3 linked regions of the Macaca mulatta genome follow. The protein of the gene in region 3 purifies or fractionates together with the protein of the main gene of each other region. This does not show direct contact. Links are inferred from orthologs where the notes say so. Each region holds a gene or a part of one and is shown on either strand. Other genes may lie near its edges.

What was found.
Region 1: the proteins of NFKB1 (region 3) and RPS3 purify together in Homo sapiens (affinity purification with western blotting; 3 studies listed by BioGRID and IntAct, with this or other methods). This does not show direct contact. The link is inferred for Macaca mulatta from reciprocal best matches to the Homo sapiens genes NFKB1 and RPS3.
Region 2: the proteins of NFKB1 (region 3) and NFKBIB purify together in Homo sapiens (affinity purification with mass spectrometry; 7 studies listed by BioGRID and IntAct, counting the BioPlex papers as one, with this or other methods). This does not show direct contact. The link is inferred for Macaca mulatta from reciprocal best matches to the Homo sapiens genes NFKB1 and NFKBIB.

The regions. Positions count from the first base shown.
Region 1 is NC_133419.1:75,815,550-75,819,719, reverse strand, and holds the start of RPS3 (small ribosomal subunit protein uS3), read right to left. Parts: upstream 2,801-4,170; 5' UTR 2,771-2,800; coding exon 2,741-2,770; intron 1,878-2,740; exon of another isoform or gene 1,730-1,877; intron 1,578-1,729; coding exon 1,447-1,577; intron 632-1,446; coding exon 538-631; intron 1-537. UniProt on the Homo sapiens protein: Component of the small ribosomal subunit. The ribosome is a large ribonucleoprotein complex responsible for the synthesis of proteins in the cell. Has endonuclease activity and plays a role in repair of damaged DNA.
Region 2 is NC_133424.1:49,994,381-49,998,490, reverse strand, and holds the start of NFKBIB (NF-kappa-B inhibitor beta), read right to left. Parts: upstream 2,801-4,110; 5' UTR 2,752-2,800; coding exon 2,573-2,751; intron 1-2,572. Other genes in the region: SIRT2 (NAD-dependent protein deacetylase sirtuin-2), read left to right, coding at 3,263-3,278. UniProt on the Homo sapiens protein: Inhibits NF-kappa-B by complexing with and trapping it in the cytoplasm.
Region 3 is NC_133410.1:111,956,299-111,959,798, reverse strand, and holds part of NFKB1 (nuclear factor NF-kappa-B p105 subunit), read right to left. Parts: intron 3,488-3,500; coding exon 3,398-3,487; intron 2,229-3,397; coding exon 2,034-2,228; intron 864-2,033; coding exon 722-863; intron 1-721.

The DNA of each region.
Region 1 (4,170 bases), on a different chromosome or scaffold from region 3:
ATTTGGCATGTCACACAAGCATCACTTTCTAGACCAAGCTTGCCCAACCCAGAGGTCGCATGCTGCCCAGGAGATGGCTTTGATTGTGGCCCAACAAAAATTGAACATCGTGATTTTTTGCACTACCAGTAGTGTGGCCCAAGATAATTCTTCCAACGTGGCCTACGGAGGCCAAAAGACTGCACAACACCATCACAAACAGCATATAATTTCAGTATCCCTCAATTCCTAAAGCACTTCTACCACCTACACACAGTGCAGGTTCCTTGCCCTCCCACCCTGGCTCCTTTGGCCATACCAACTACACCAATGGGGACAGTCAATCCATCATATGCATCATTTCTATACCCAAGTTGAATGTAAAATCCTTTAACTATCAACCATTAGCAGAACAGGCTTACAAAGTTAAGCCCATTATTCATTAAGAGAATTTCAACAAAGTTGTATCAGTCCATTTGTAATGAACAAAGTCTCCCAGTTTTTAGAAGTTATCATTCTGAAGAGCCATTATCTCTGGCATACGCCAGAATCACTCACCTCTACACTGCCCTCTGGAAAGCCAAACCTCTTCTGAACTACAGCAGTCAGTTCCCGAATCCGCCGGCCCTTCTCACCAAGAACATTCTGTGTTCTGGGCGGGGAAAAAGTGACAATTCATGACTCTCACAAATGCTAGATTTAACTTTAAATCTTGCAATATATATGTGGTAGCAAAATCTCTGCCACAAAGCATATAATTTTCATTGACAAAAACTAAAGTTAAATTTTCAAAATGCAGCTTTTTTTGAGACAGGGTCTCTCTCTGTCACCCAGGCTGGATCACACCAATGGCTCACTGCAGCCTGGACCTCTTGGGCTCAAGCCATCGCCTGCTTCAGCCTCTGGAATAGCTGGGACCACAGGTGTGCACCACCACAACCTTATCTTTTTTAGAGAGGGGGTTTCCGCATGTTGCCCAGGCTGGTCTTGAACTCCTGAGCTCAAGCGATCCTATGCCTGGCCTTAAAATCCAGCTTTTAAGAAGCAATTACATTCACTAAGCCCAGACTCACTGGCTGTCTATCCCCTTAAGTTCACAAAGGACAAACCAGCCAGGCGCGGTGGCTCATGCCTGTAATCCCAGCACTTTGGGAGGCTGAGGTGGGCGGATCCCGAGGTCAGGAGATTGAGACCATCCTGGCTAACACAGTGAAACCCCGAATCTACTAAAAATACAAAAAATTAGCCGGGCATGGTGGTTGGCCCCTGTAGTCCCAGCTACTCAGGAGGCTGAGGCAGGAGAATGGCAGGAAGCTGGGAGGCGGAGCTTGCAGTGAGCAGAGATCTCACCACTGCACTCCAGCCTTCGGGACAGAGCAAGACTCTGTCTCACACACACAAAAAAAGGAATAAACCAACTTAGCATTTACAACAATTATAGGTGATGGCCAGTCAAGTGAGTTTTACCTGGTGGCTAAGATAATGATTTCTGTCCTGGTTGGTGTAACTCGCACCTCAACTCCAGAGTAGCCATCTTCAGCCAGCTCCCGAGTAAGAAACTCATTCAGTTCAGCTTTGAAGATGCCATCAGCGACAAACTAATCCAAAAAAAGCGAAGTTCAAAATTAGGACATCGGTGTAGGCTCACTTTCGCCTGAGCCAGTGTCTTATTAGTCAATGCATCCCTCCCCAAAACTAAATACCTCCAACCAATGGTTCCAAACCCTTGTTCCAACAGGAGTGCAGCAACCCTTCTCAGACAAATGCCTCTAGGTCATCTTTAGGAAGTTACTTCAACCAGGGCCCTTTAAACTGTGCCACAGAATGCAGCACAGAGTAGGCAACCTGGGCGAAGGCAACACCCCCAAGTCAGACTCGTCATCATCTCTTCATCGAAGGGTTTAAAACAGTTCCACATGCAAAACAAGAAACTGCTCTAAAATAGCCTATTTACACCTCACTCAGCACAGCAAAGACACTGTACTTGTCACTGTGAAGGAACAGAATAGATAGTGGACTTAACATAAGCTCTCTCACTTGCAGACACAACCTGGACCGTCTAAAGAATCCCAGCCATGTTATCTGGCCTTACGGTACCTGTGGTTTTAACTGTAAACAGAGCTGGAAAATCCTAACTCACAAGAGTTGTGGATTTAATTTTAACATCGAAGTGTAGGTATACGAAATGACAAACTGTCTATTTTTAAAGCTAATGATTTTTACACAGTTCTTTCCCATGGAATAACAAAGCGTTAAATCCGAGGCAGCTTCCTCCCGGGGTCCTCAGACGGAGCAAGCAATCGTCAGTAACCCTTCATGTTGAGGTCGTGGGACCAGCAGACTGTACCCAGACTCGACCAGTAAGAAGACAAGTATACACTGCTGCCTCCCCTTCCCAAAACCATGGGATAAGACATGAGGGAAATGACACACGCCCTCAAAATACCACGTTTACTAATTCCATTGACCAAAAAATGCTCACAAACGCCTTCTCCGGGACAGAAGGGGCGCCTGGTCCCCATCTCTCTGCGCTTCACTCGGAACCAGAGAAAAACCTGTCTCTCCCTTACCCGGCCACACAGCGCCCGCCTGGCTCGGGCCTCTCACTCAATCCACCGCCATCCGCGGCCCGTGGGAATGCCAGGAAGCCTAAGCCGCTTCCCAGGGCAGGGCACGGAGCTGCAGGCCTCGCGGTGGCACCCGAGAAGCCCCTGACCCTCGCGGCGCAGTCGTTCCCCGAACCCAGTCCCCAGAGGCTCACCTTCCTCTTCTTGGAAATTTGCACGGCCATCTTGCCGCCGCGCTCCGCCGAAAGAAAAAGAAGTGGCGGGCGGGCGGAAGTGAGTATAAAGGGCGCGAGCGACGGCGGAGGGCTGCGCTACGTGGACGCCTATGGGTGCTCATGGGAAATGTAGTTTTTACGTAAAGAAGGCGTCAAGGGAAGGAAGAGTGTAGGCAGGAACAGTAAAGGGGGTTCGACCAGCAGGACTGCTAGACTTCAGAGGATCTTAGAGTTCAATTCTCTTTTTTTTTTTTTTTTGAGACGGAGTCTTGCTCTGTCGCCCAGGCTGGAGTGCAGTGGCCGGATCTCAGCTCACTGCAAGCTCCGCCTCCCGGGTTTACGCCATTCTCCTGCCTCAGCCTTCGGAGTAGCTGGGACTACAGGCGCCCGCCACCTCTCCCGGCTAGTTTTTTGTATTTTTTAATAGAGACAGGGTTTCACCGTGTTAGCCAGGATGGTCTCGATTTCTCGACCTCGTGATCCGCTTGTCTCGGCCTCCCAAAGTGCTGGGATTACAGGCTTGAGCCACCGCGCCCGGCCGCGAGTTCAATTCTCATAGTTTAAAAACAAGCAATGCGAGGTGCAGAGGTGGAAATTACAGGTATAAGTTCACACAGCAACAGAGTTTAACCAGCGTGGAACTCTGGCCCCTACACTTTCAGGGTGGATATTGTAATGAAAATCTGCTGAAATCCCTCAGTGAAATTCATTTAAGACTCCTCTTTGGGAGGCCAAGGCGGGCGGATTACTTGAGGTCAGGAGTTAAAGACTAGCCTGGCGAACATGGTGAAACCCCGTCTCTACTAAAAATAGAAAAAGTAGCTGGGCGTGGTGGCAGGCACCTGTAATCCCAGCTACTCAGGAGGCTGAGGTGGGAGGATTGCTTGGACCCGGGAGGTGGAGGTTGCAGTGGGCGGAGATCCCACCACTGCACTCTAGCCTGGGCGACAGAGTGAGGCTCTGTCTCAAAAAAAAAAAAAAAAAAAAAAAAAAAAAGAATGTCCCCAGTCTGTGCCCATTTCCTCCATTCCAAATGATAATAAAACCTGATATTTACTAAGTGTCCTAGGGACTGTGTTCTGTGCCCTTTATGTTGTTTTCATTTACTCCACCTTACTTTCATCAAGTCCATTACAATTTGTAACAGAAGTCCCAGAGAGTGGCTCGTGTGCCCGCCCACCCTCCCTCTCTTCCTTCCTTCCTTCCCTCCTTCCTTCCCTCCTTCCCTCCTTTCTCTCTCTTTCTCTCCTTTCTTTCTTTTCTCTCCCGTTGCCCAAGCTGGAGCGCAGTAGTACGATCTCAGCTCCCTGCAACCTCCACCTCCCAGGTTCAAGCGATTCTTCTGCCTTGGCCTCCTGAGTAGCTGGGATTACAGGTGCACACCACCAAACCCGGCTAATTTTTGTATT
Region 2 (4,110 bases), on a different chromosome or scaffold from region 3:
ATTTTTAGGCCGGGTGTGGTGGCTCACACCTGTAATCCCACCACGTTGGGAGGCCGAGGTGGGTGGATCACTTTAAGTCAGGAGTTCCAGACCAGCCTGGCCAACATGGTGAAATCCCATCTCTGCTAAAAGCACAAAAATTAGCCGGATGTGGTGGTGCATGCCTGTAATCCCTGCTACGCGGAAGGCTGAAACATGAGAATTGCTTGAACCTGGGAGGCAGAGGTTGCAGCAAGCTGAGATCATTCCACTGTACTACAGCTTTGGTGACAGAGCAAGACTCCAGTCTCAAAAAAAAAAGAAAAAGAAAAAAAATACTGAATTAGGCCGGGTGTGGTGGCTCATGCCTGTAATCCCAGCACTTTGGGAGGCCAAGGTGGGCAGATCATTTGAGGTAAGGAGTTTGAGACCAGCCTGGCCAACATGGTGAAACCCTGTCTCTACCAAAAAAATTACAAAACTTATCCGGGGGTGGTGGCACCCCCCTGTAATCCCAACTACTCGGGAGGCTGAGGCAAGAGAATCACTTGAACCCAGGAGGACAAGGTTGCAGTGAACGGAAACTGTGCCACTGCACTCCAGCCTGGGGAACAGAGTGGACTCCAACTCAAAAAAATAATAAAGCATACTGAATTAAATGAAAATAAAAACACAACATACCAGAATTTGAGAGATATTGCTAAAACAATATTGCTAAACAATAGTCAGGAGCAAATTTATAGCACTCAATACCTATACTGGAAAAGAGGAAAAAAGAAAGGTCTCAAATCAATGATCTCAACTTTCACCTTAAGAAACTACAAAAAGAAGAACAAATTAAAGCCAAAGTAAGCAGAAGAATGAACATAATAAAAGTCAGAACAGCCTGGCATGGTGGCTCATGCCTGCAATCCCAGCACTTTGGGAGGCTGAGGCAGGCAGATCACGGGGTCAGGAGTTTGAGACCAGCCTGGCCAACATGGTGAAACCCCATCTCTACTAAAAACACAAAAATTAGCCAGGCATGGTGGTGGGCACCTGTAATCCCAGCTACTGGGGAGGTTGAGGCAGGAGAATTGCTTGAACCCAGGAGATGGAGGTTGCAGTGAGTCAACATGGTGCCACTGCACTCCAGCCTGGGCGACAGAGTGAAACTCCATTTCAAAAAACAAAACAAAACAAAACAAAAAAACCGGCCGGGCGCGGTGGCTCAAGCCTGTAATCCCAGCACTTTGGGAGGCCGAGATGGCGGATCACGAGGTCAGGAGATCGAAACCATCCTGGCTAACACAGTGAAACCCTGTCTCTACTAAAAAAAAAAAAAACTAGCCAGGCGAGGTGGCGGGCACCTGTAGTCCCAGCTACTCGGGAGGCTGAGGCAGGAGAATGGCTTAAACCCGGCAGGCGGAGCTTGCAGTGAGCTGAGATCCGGCCACTGCACTCCAGCCTGGGCGACAGAGCGAGACTCTGTCTCAAAAAAAAAGCCAGGACAGAGACTAATTATATAAAAAGTAAAAAAAAAAAAAAAAAAAAAAGAAACCAAAATTAAGTAATGAAATGTAATGAAAATTAACAAGATTATAAAGCTGGTTCTTTGAAAAGATAAATATTTCTTCAGTGCCTCCTGGGTCAGGCACTGCTTGCATCACTGGGCATACAGCAGAAAACACAACAGACAAAAAACCCAGTACAGTCCCTCATCTGGGCTTTGCAACTGCAGTTCCTTCTCCCTGAAATGCTCTTATCCTGTTTATCTATTGCCTCATTTTCCTGCTTTATTTTTCTCCAAAGTACTTACTACCTCTGACTTTATTTCCTTCTCTTACTTTCTATGTTTCTTTCTTTCTGCGTGTCTTTCTTTGTTTCTTCCTGTCTTTCTGTTTCTTTCCTTCCTTGCGGTCTTATCTGTTTATTTAGTTCCACTAAAATGTATGCTCCACAAGCGCTTAAGTTTTTGTCTGTTTTCTCCACTGCCTTTATCACTAGCACCTAAAACGGAGCCTGGAATGTTGTACTGTGTAAAGAATATTTGTTTAACAGATGGATCCTTGGTCTCGTGGAGCTTACATTCTTTTTTTCTATTTTCCTTTTTTTTTTTTTTTTACTTTAATTAGGAATTCAACATAGAAGAGCTTACATTCTCTCTCTTTGAATTTAAGATTTGAAGAACACTGCTCAGATGACAGGATCTTAGAGTAAGGGACCAAGCATTAATTTTGGAAATCAAACTTTAAGGCTCAAATCAGGAACTAAGAATCAAAGATCATATTTGGAGGTTAGAAGTCAGGAGAAGCCACAGTTCTAACAAAAGTCTCAGGACTGGAGTCAGGTTTGGGTATCAGTGGATACAACGTGGATTCCAGGAGCTGAGAATCATAGTTCAGGAAAAGGTCAGAAATGATTGGGTGAGGATCATAGCTGGAAAGAAGATTGGTTTTGTTAAAAGTTAGGACTCGGGGGTTAGAGGTCAGGAAGTTCAGCATCGGAAGTCAGATTTAGGAGTGTGAGGTTAGGAAGCCTCAGGGATCAGACACTAATGGGGAATCAGATGCCGGGTCCTAAGGCTCCGTTTGGCAGCCTAAAGTTCACTCACGTGTCCCCATCCTCAGTGACGTAGCCGAAGACGAGGGGAGCCCACGACAGCCCCGGGCCCAGCTCCGCGCCCAATCCCGGTCCTCCGGGGGCCGCTGCGTCCGGACCCAGGGAGCCGAGGCCGCTGTCGCACCATTCATCTGCGTCGGCAGCTTTTCCCAAGCACGCGACCCCAGCCATGGCCCCCGCCACCTCAGGGGCCCCTCGCAGTGGCCCGCCTGTAGCTGGGCTTTGCCGGGAGTTCTGGCGCTTCCGCCCTGCGGGAAATTCCCCACCACGCCCCCTGATTCATCCAATGATAATATGCTGAATCGCTCACACCCCGCCCCCGTGCCGCATGCTGACCAATCAGAGTATTCGAGAGGACTACGACTCTCTAGCCGTTCCCACATTTTCCGGGCGCCCTTTACCAACATGGCTGCTGACGCCATGACTTCTGGGACTCGTAGTCCGGTCCTCGCGCGCTTTCTTACCTAACTGGGGCGCTCCGGGTGTCGTAGGAAAGCGCGTCTGCGGCCGCAATGTCTGCTGGGAGTTGTAGTTCAGTGCCCTATCCCGGCCACTCCCATTTCTGGTGCCGTCACGGGACAGAGCAGTCGGTGACAGGACAGAGCCGTCGGTGACGGGACACAGTGGTCGGTGACGGGACAGAGCGGTCGGTGACAGCCTCGAGGGCTTCAGCACCGCGCCCATGGCAGAGCCGGACCGTGAGTCGGGAATCCGGGTGGGAGGGTCGGGCCGCGCCGGGGCCTGATTGAAGGCTGCAGGCCCCGGGGCCCAAGGGCGGCCGCAGTGGGGCGGGAAGTAGGGAGCGCCTCGGGGAGTGGGGTTCTGAGGGTTGTTGCTAAGCGATCTATATCGCCAGGCTGGTGGGTTTCTGGGTCGCAGGGTGTTCAGGGTTCGTTTACCACATCCACTTGCCAAGTTGCCAATGATCGCGTGTTTCTCACACCTTGGTTGCTAAGGACCCTCGCTGCAAAGAACATAAGTTGCCCCGGTCCCGGCTGCTAAGGGTACCTGATTGTTAGAGGCAACCAGAGGATGCTGAGGGACCCCTGCTGTCCCCTTCTATGGCTTCCCCTTGTTCCGCGCCTCTCCTAAACCTACCGCCTCCACTGCACCACTGCACCTCCCTCCTAAACCTGCCTCCCAGCCAAAGCGTCCCTTCCCTTCTCTCTTCCTTTCTAAACTTCCCTCTGCCTTGTAAATCTAACCCTTCCCGCACACACACTGACACACTGTCGTGTCCTTCCTAACTCCTCCTGAGTGTTCCTTCATGCCCTGAATCCCTTAGGTAGGAGGAGGAGGATCGCTTGAGCCCAGGAGTTTGAGGCTGCAGTGAGCTATGATCGCACCATTGCACTCCAGCCTGGGTGACATGAGCGAGACCCTTTCTCTAAAAAGTAAAAAAGAAAGAAAGTAAGTCAGGGCCAGACACAATGGCTCATGCTTGTAACCCCAGTACTTTGAGAGGCCAAGGTGGTTGGATCGCTTGAGCCCAGGAGTTCAAGATCAGCCTGGGCAAAAGCCCCTACTTTC
Region 3 (3,500 bases):
CACTTGACTTGAATGTGAAGGCTGCTGTTTCTTGTTATTTTTATAGGCTTTCGAGATACTTTAGAAGTCTCAATGAAAGGACTAAGAGAACTGTTTTAGAAAGAAGCCAGGTGGCTTTGCAAATACAATCTCAGTAATAGCAGGAATGGAAGGCATGGTGTTTGGAATGTTCGACTCCCACGCATGGGCTGGAGCAGTCACAAAAGTCTGAACCAGTCACAGACTGGTGACCACCAGAAGAGGTAGTAGAGAAGAAACCAGTAACTGGGAAAGAATGACCAGTCCCTCTTAATCTTTCTGTTGTTGTTGCTGCCTTTATTGAGCTTTTTCTTGAGTACACTGTCATTATAAATATGCAGCTGGGATAACAAGGTTTCAGGGATTTGGTAGGATTCTTAACAATTCTCCAAATATTATTTCAATAAACAAAGCGAGGCTTTTCAAAAAGTACCATTACCTATACACATCTTAGTTTGCTTGCCCAGAGAGATTCACTCTTAGATGAATCCTCCAGCTACTACAGATTCCAACAGATGACAGCAGCAGGATGGAGCAGCAAATTGTGCTACTTTACCTTATTCACACTAGTTTTCTTGATCGTGCCAGTTAGAGGACTCAATACATTTGAACAATTATTTTTATCTCTAGTCAGCATGCATTATATGATGCTCTTCTTTTTCCCTACCCAGAACAACCTATCATGCAAAAAATCCTGACTTACCTGTCCCCATTCTCATCCTGCACGGCAGTGAGATGGCGCTGGACGGCCAGCAGCATCTTCACGTCTCCTGTCACTGCGTAGTCGAAAAGGGCATTGGCATGCCTCTTTGCAAGCTGCATAGCCTTCTCTAGAAAGAGGTTATCTGTAAGGCAATGACCACAATCATAGTTGAGTGTTCCTACTTTTGTTTTATGGGTATGGCATGCTCAAGGCCAAACTGACCAGCATCAGTGTTCTGACACCTTGACACATCATTTTAGTTGAAAATGCTCTTTCAATGCTTTTGGATTGTGTTGACTAGAAAAAGCAGAATTGGACATTGGGTCACTGACAAATATAGTTAGAGATTGATCTTAAAGAATCTATGTATGGTTTGTTAGAGGAAAAAGTTTAGAAATGTGTTATTTTAAGGGAACAACCATTATCTGTTATTTTAAGGAAAACAATCTCCAAACAATGTTAGATTTTACCATGATTTTAAATCACCAATATCTTGGTGAAATAATCCTTCATTGGGATCTCTACCAATTAGCTTGTTAGGCAATGTGTGAAAAAACACACGTCTCTGCCATAAACAGAGACTTTCCATGAAACACTCATGTTTTTGTAAAGTTTGTTCCATTAAGGTCAGGGAATGGCAGTTGTGACCTTTGGGCCAAAACCTGTTTATGCTCGGCTTTTCATATAGCTCCCTAGCTAATCATGGCTTATACATTTTTAAAGGGGTGTAAAAAAAAGGCATATGTGATAGATACCACATGTGGCCACCAACTCTAATTGCTTTTACAGATGTCTTCTTAGTACGATCTAGGATGACCTAGAATCATGACACATATGCTAATAAGTATTGGTTCAGAGTAAACGCAAAAGTACATTTTCTCCTAATCCTACTTGTTCAAAGAGGGCAACAAGATAAAAAGAAAAGTTCCTATTTTAAGGCAAAGTTCTATTTCAGTATGATGGTTAAGCCAGAATCTAGAGAGGGTGACTATTAAGCTTGTAGAAATACTTCTCTATCTGTGCCAGAAAAGAAGTTGATTATCTCTCACAATACCCTAAAACTGCATGATTGTGACTGGAGAATGTACATGTAAATTTCTGTACTTTACATTCAAAGATAACAGAGCAAAAATGGAAATCCCAGTGTGAATAAAATGATCTGACATATGCTCTTCCAAAGACATACAGAACTTTGAAGAGTACGCTAAACTAGATATTGATATGTCATCTTCAGATTAGCAGATACTTTTCTACACCTAGGACTGACCCCTCCCCAGCCAACCAATAGAACGTAATTTGTGTGCTCACTTACCCTGAACCCTAGCACTCTCTTCTTTTGCTCTTGTTGCATACGTTAGAGTGACCTCACCATTCCCATCAGTGGCCTCGCTGGGCTCCTGATTGTGCTCTGTGGTTTCAATGACTTTCCCAAAGAGGTTTACAGTGTTTCTGTCATCACTTCTGTCACAACCTTCAGAGTCCTTTTTAGATTCAGTGTCCATGGTTCCTAAGAAAAATGTAAAAACATCAGATTTTTCTCAGTAAAATGTATTAATTTAGTGATAATTCACTATTCCAATGCAGGTCAGATAAAGGTAAGAGGCAAGTTTGCTGCAAAAGGAAAAGAAAAATAATAATTTAAAATTCTTTTAAAAATGGTCATATCATAAATACCATGTTTTGGAGATACTCTAAACTCAATTCTAAAAACCATTTTTAGTATACTTCTAAAATCTTAGATCTCATTTTGCTTATTTACTTGTAAAGGAGAAAAATGAAATAAAGCTCTTCTGTCAATTGCAGAAAAGTTGAATTTTTAAAGTTCTTGAAAGCAGAGCAGTTTTTTCCTAACGCTAATGAACAAAGCAAGTCATAAAGACGTGTTGTCAATTCACATTCTTTAGTATGGGAGCTATCCAGTGTAGCATTCCTGATCATCCTCTTTCAGGTTCAACTATGTTATCTGACAGACACTATGAGAGCATCTAGCTTTTATAGTGGAGACCTGCTTCAAATTCTTGTTCTGCCACTAACTTCTGTGTGCCTTCAGTGAGTATAAACATTTCTGAACTTTGGTGTCTTTTGTGTGCAAAATGGAGATACTATTTTCCATATAGTGCAGTCATGAAGATAACAGTTAAAACATGTAAAAGCACTTGGCACAAAAATAGGTATTCAATAAATGGGAAGACTTCTTTATAGTATTATTTCTTCCATGGGTACACTAGAATGGACCTGTAATGTAAACTATCAACACGTGGTTTAACTGCAGCTTCTCAGGTGATGACTTGATGGGAAAAGACAAACCCTATAAAACTCAAAATGATTTCAGAAGTGTACTATTTGAGAAAACGAGAGACAGAAGACATAAGTTTGGTGATGTTTAAAACGTTTGAATAGTCAGGTCTCTGTATATCTCTTTTCAATGCTCTTTTCTTTCCTCTGTTCATGCCACTTACGAAGGAAATATATAAAATATAAACAAGGAACAGAGTTTATACTAGCCACAGGAAATAATATCTTTTGGAAAAAGTATCTTCTCAGTTTATTTGCATTAATCAATTATTTTTCAAGACAATAATACTGTTGTGATGGATTTAAAAATTTTTTTTTAAATCTATTTTTTTTAGGATTATTTTTTTCCTTTCTTGGTATTAAGAATAAAGCATTACTTACCATGCTTCATCCCAGCATTAGATTTAGTAGTTCCAGGATGGAAGGTAATCCCACCATAAGTAGGAAATCCATAGTGTGGGAAGCTATACCCTGAAATGGCAAG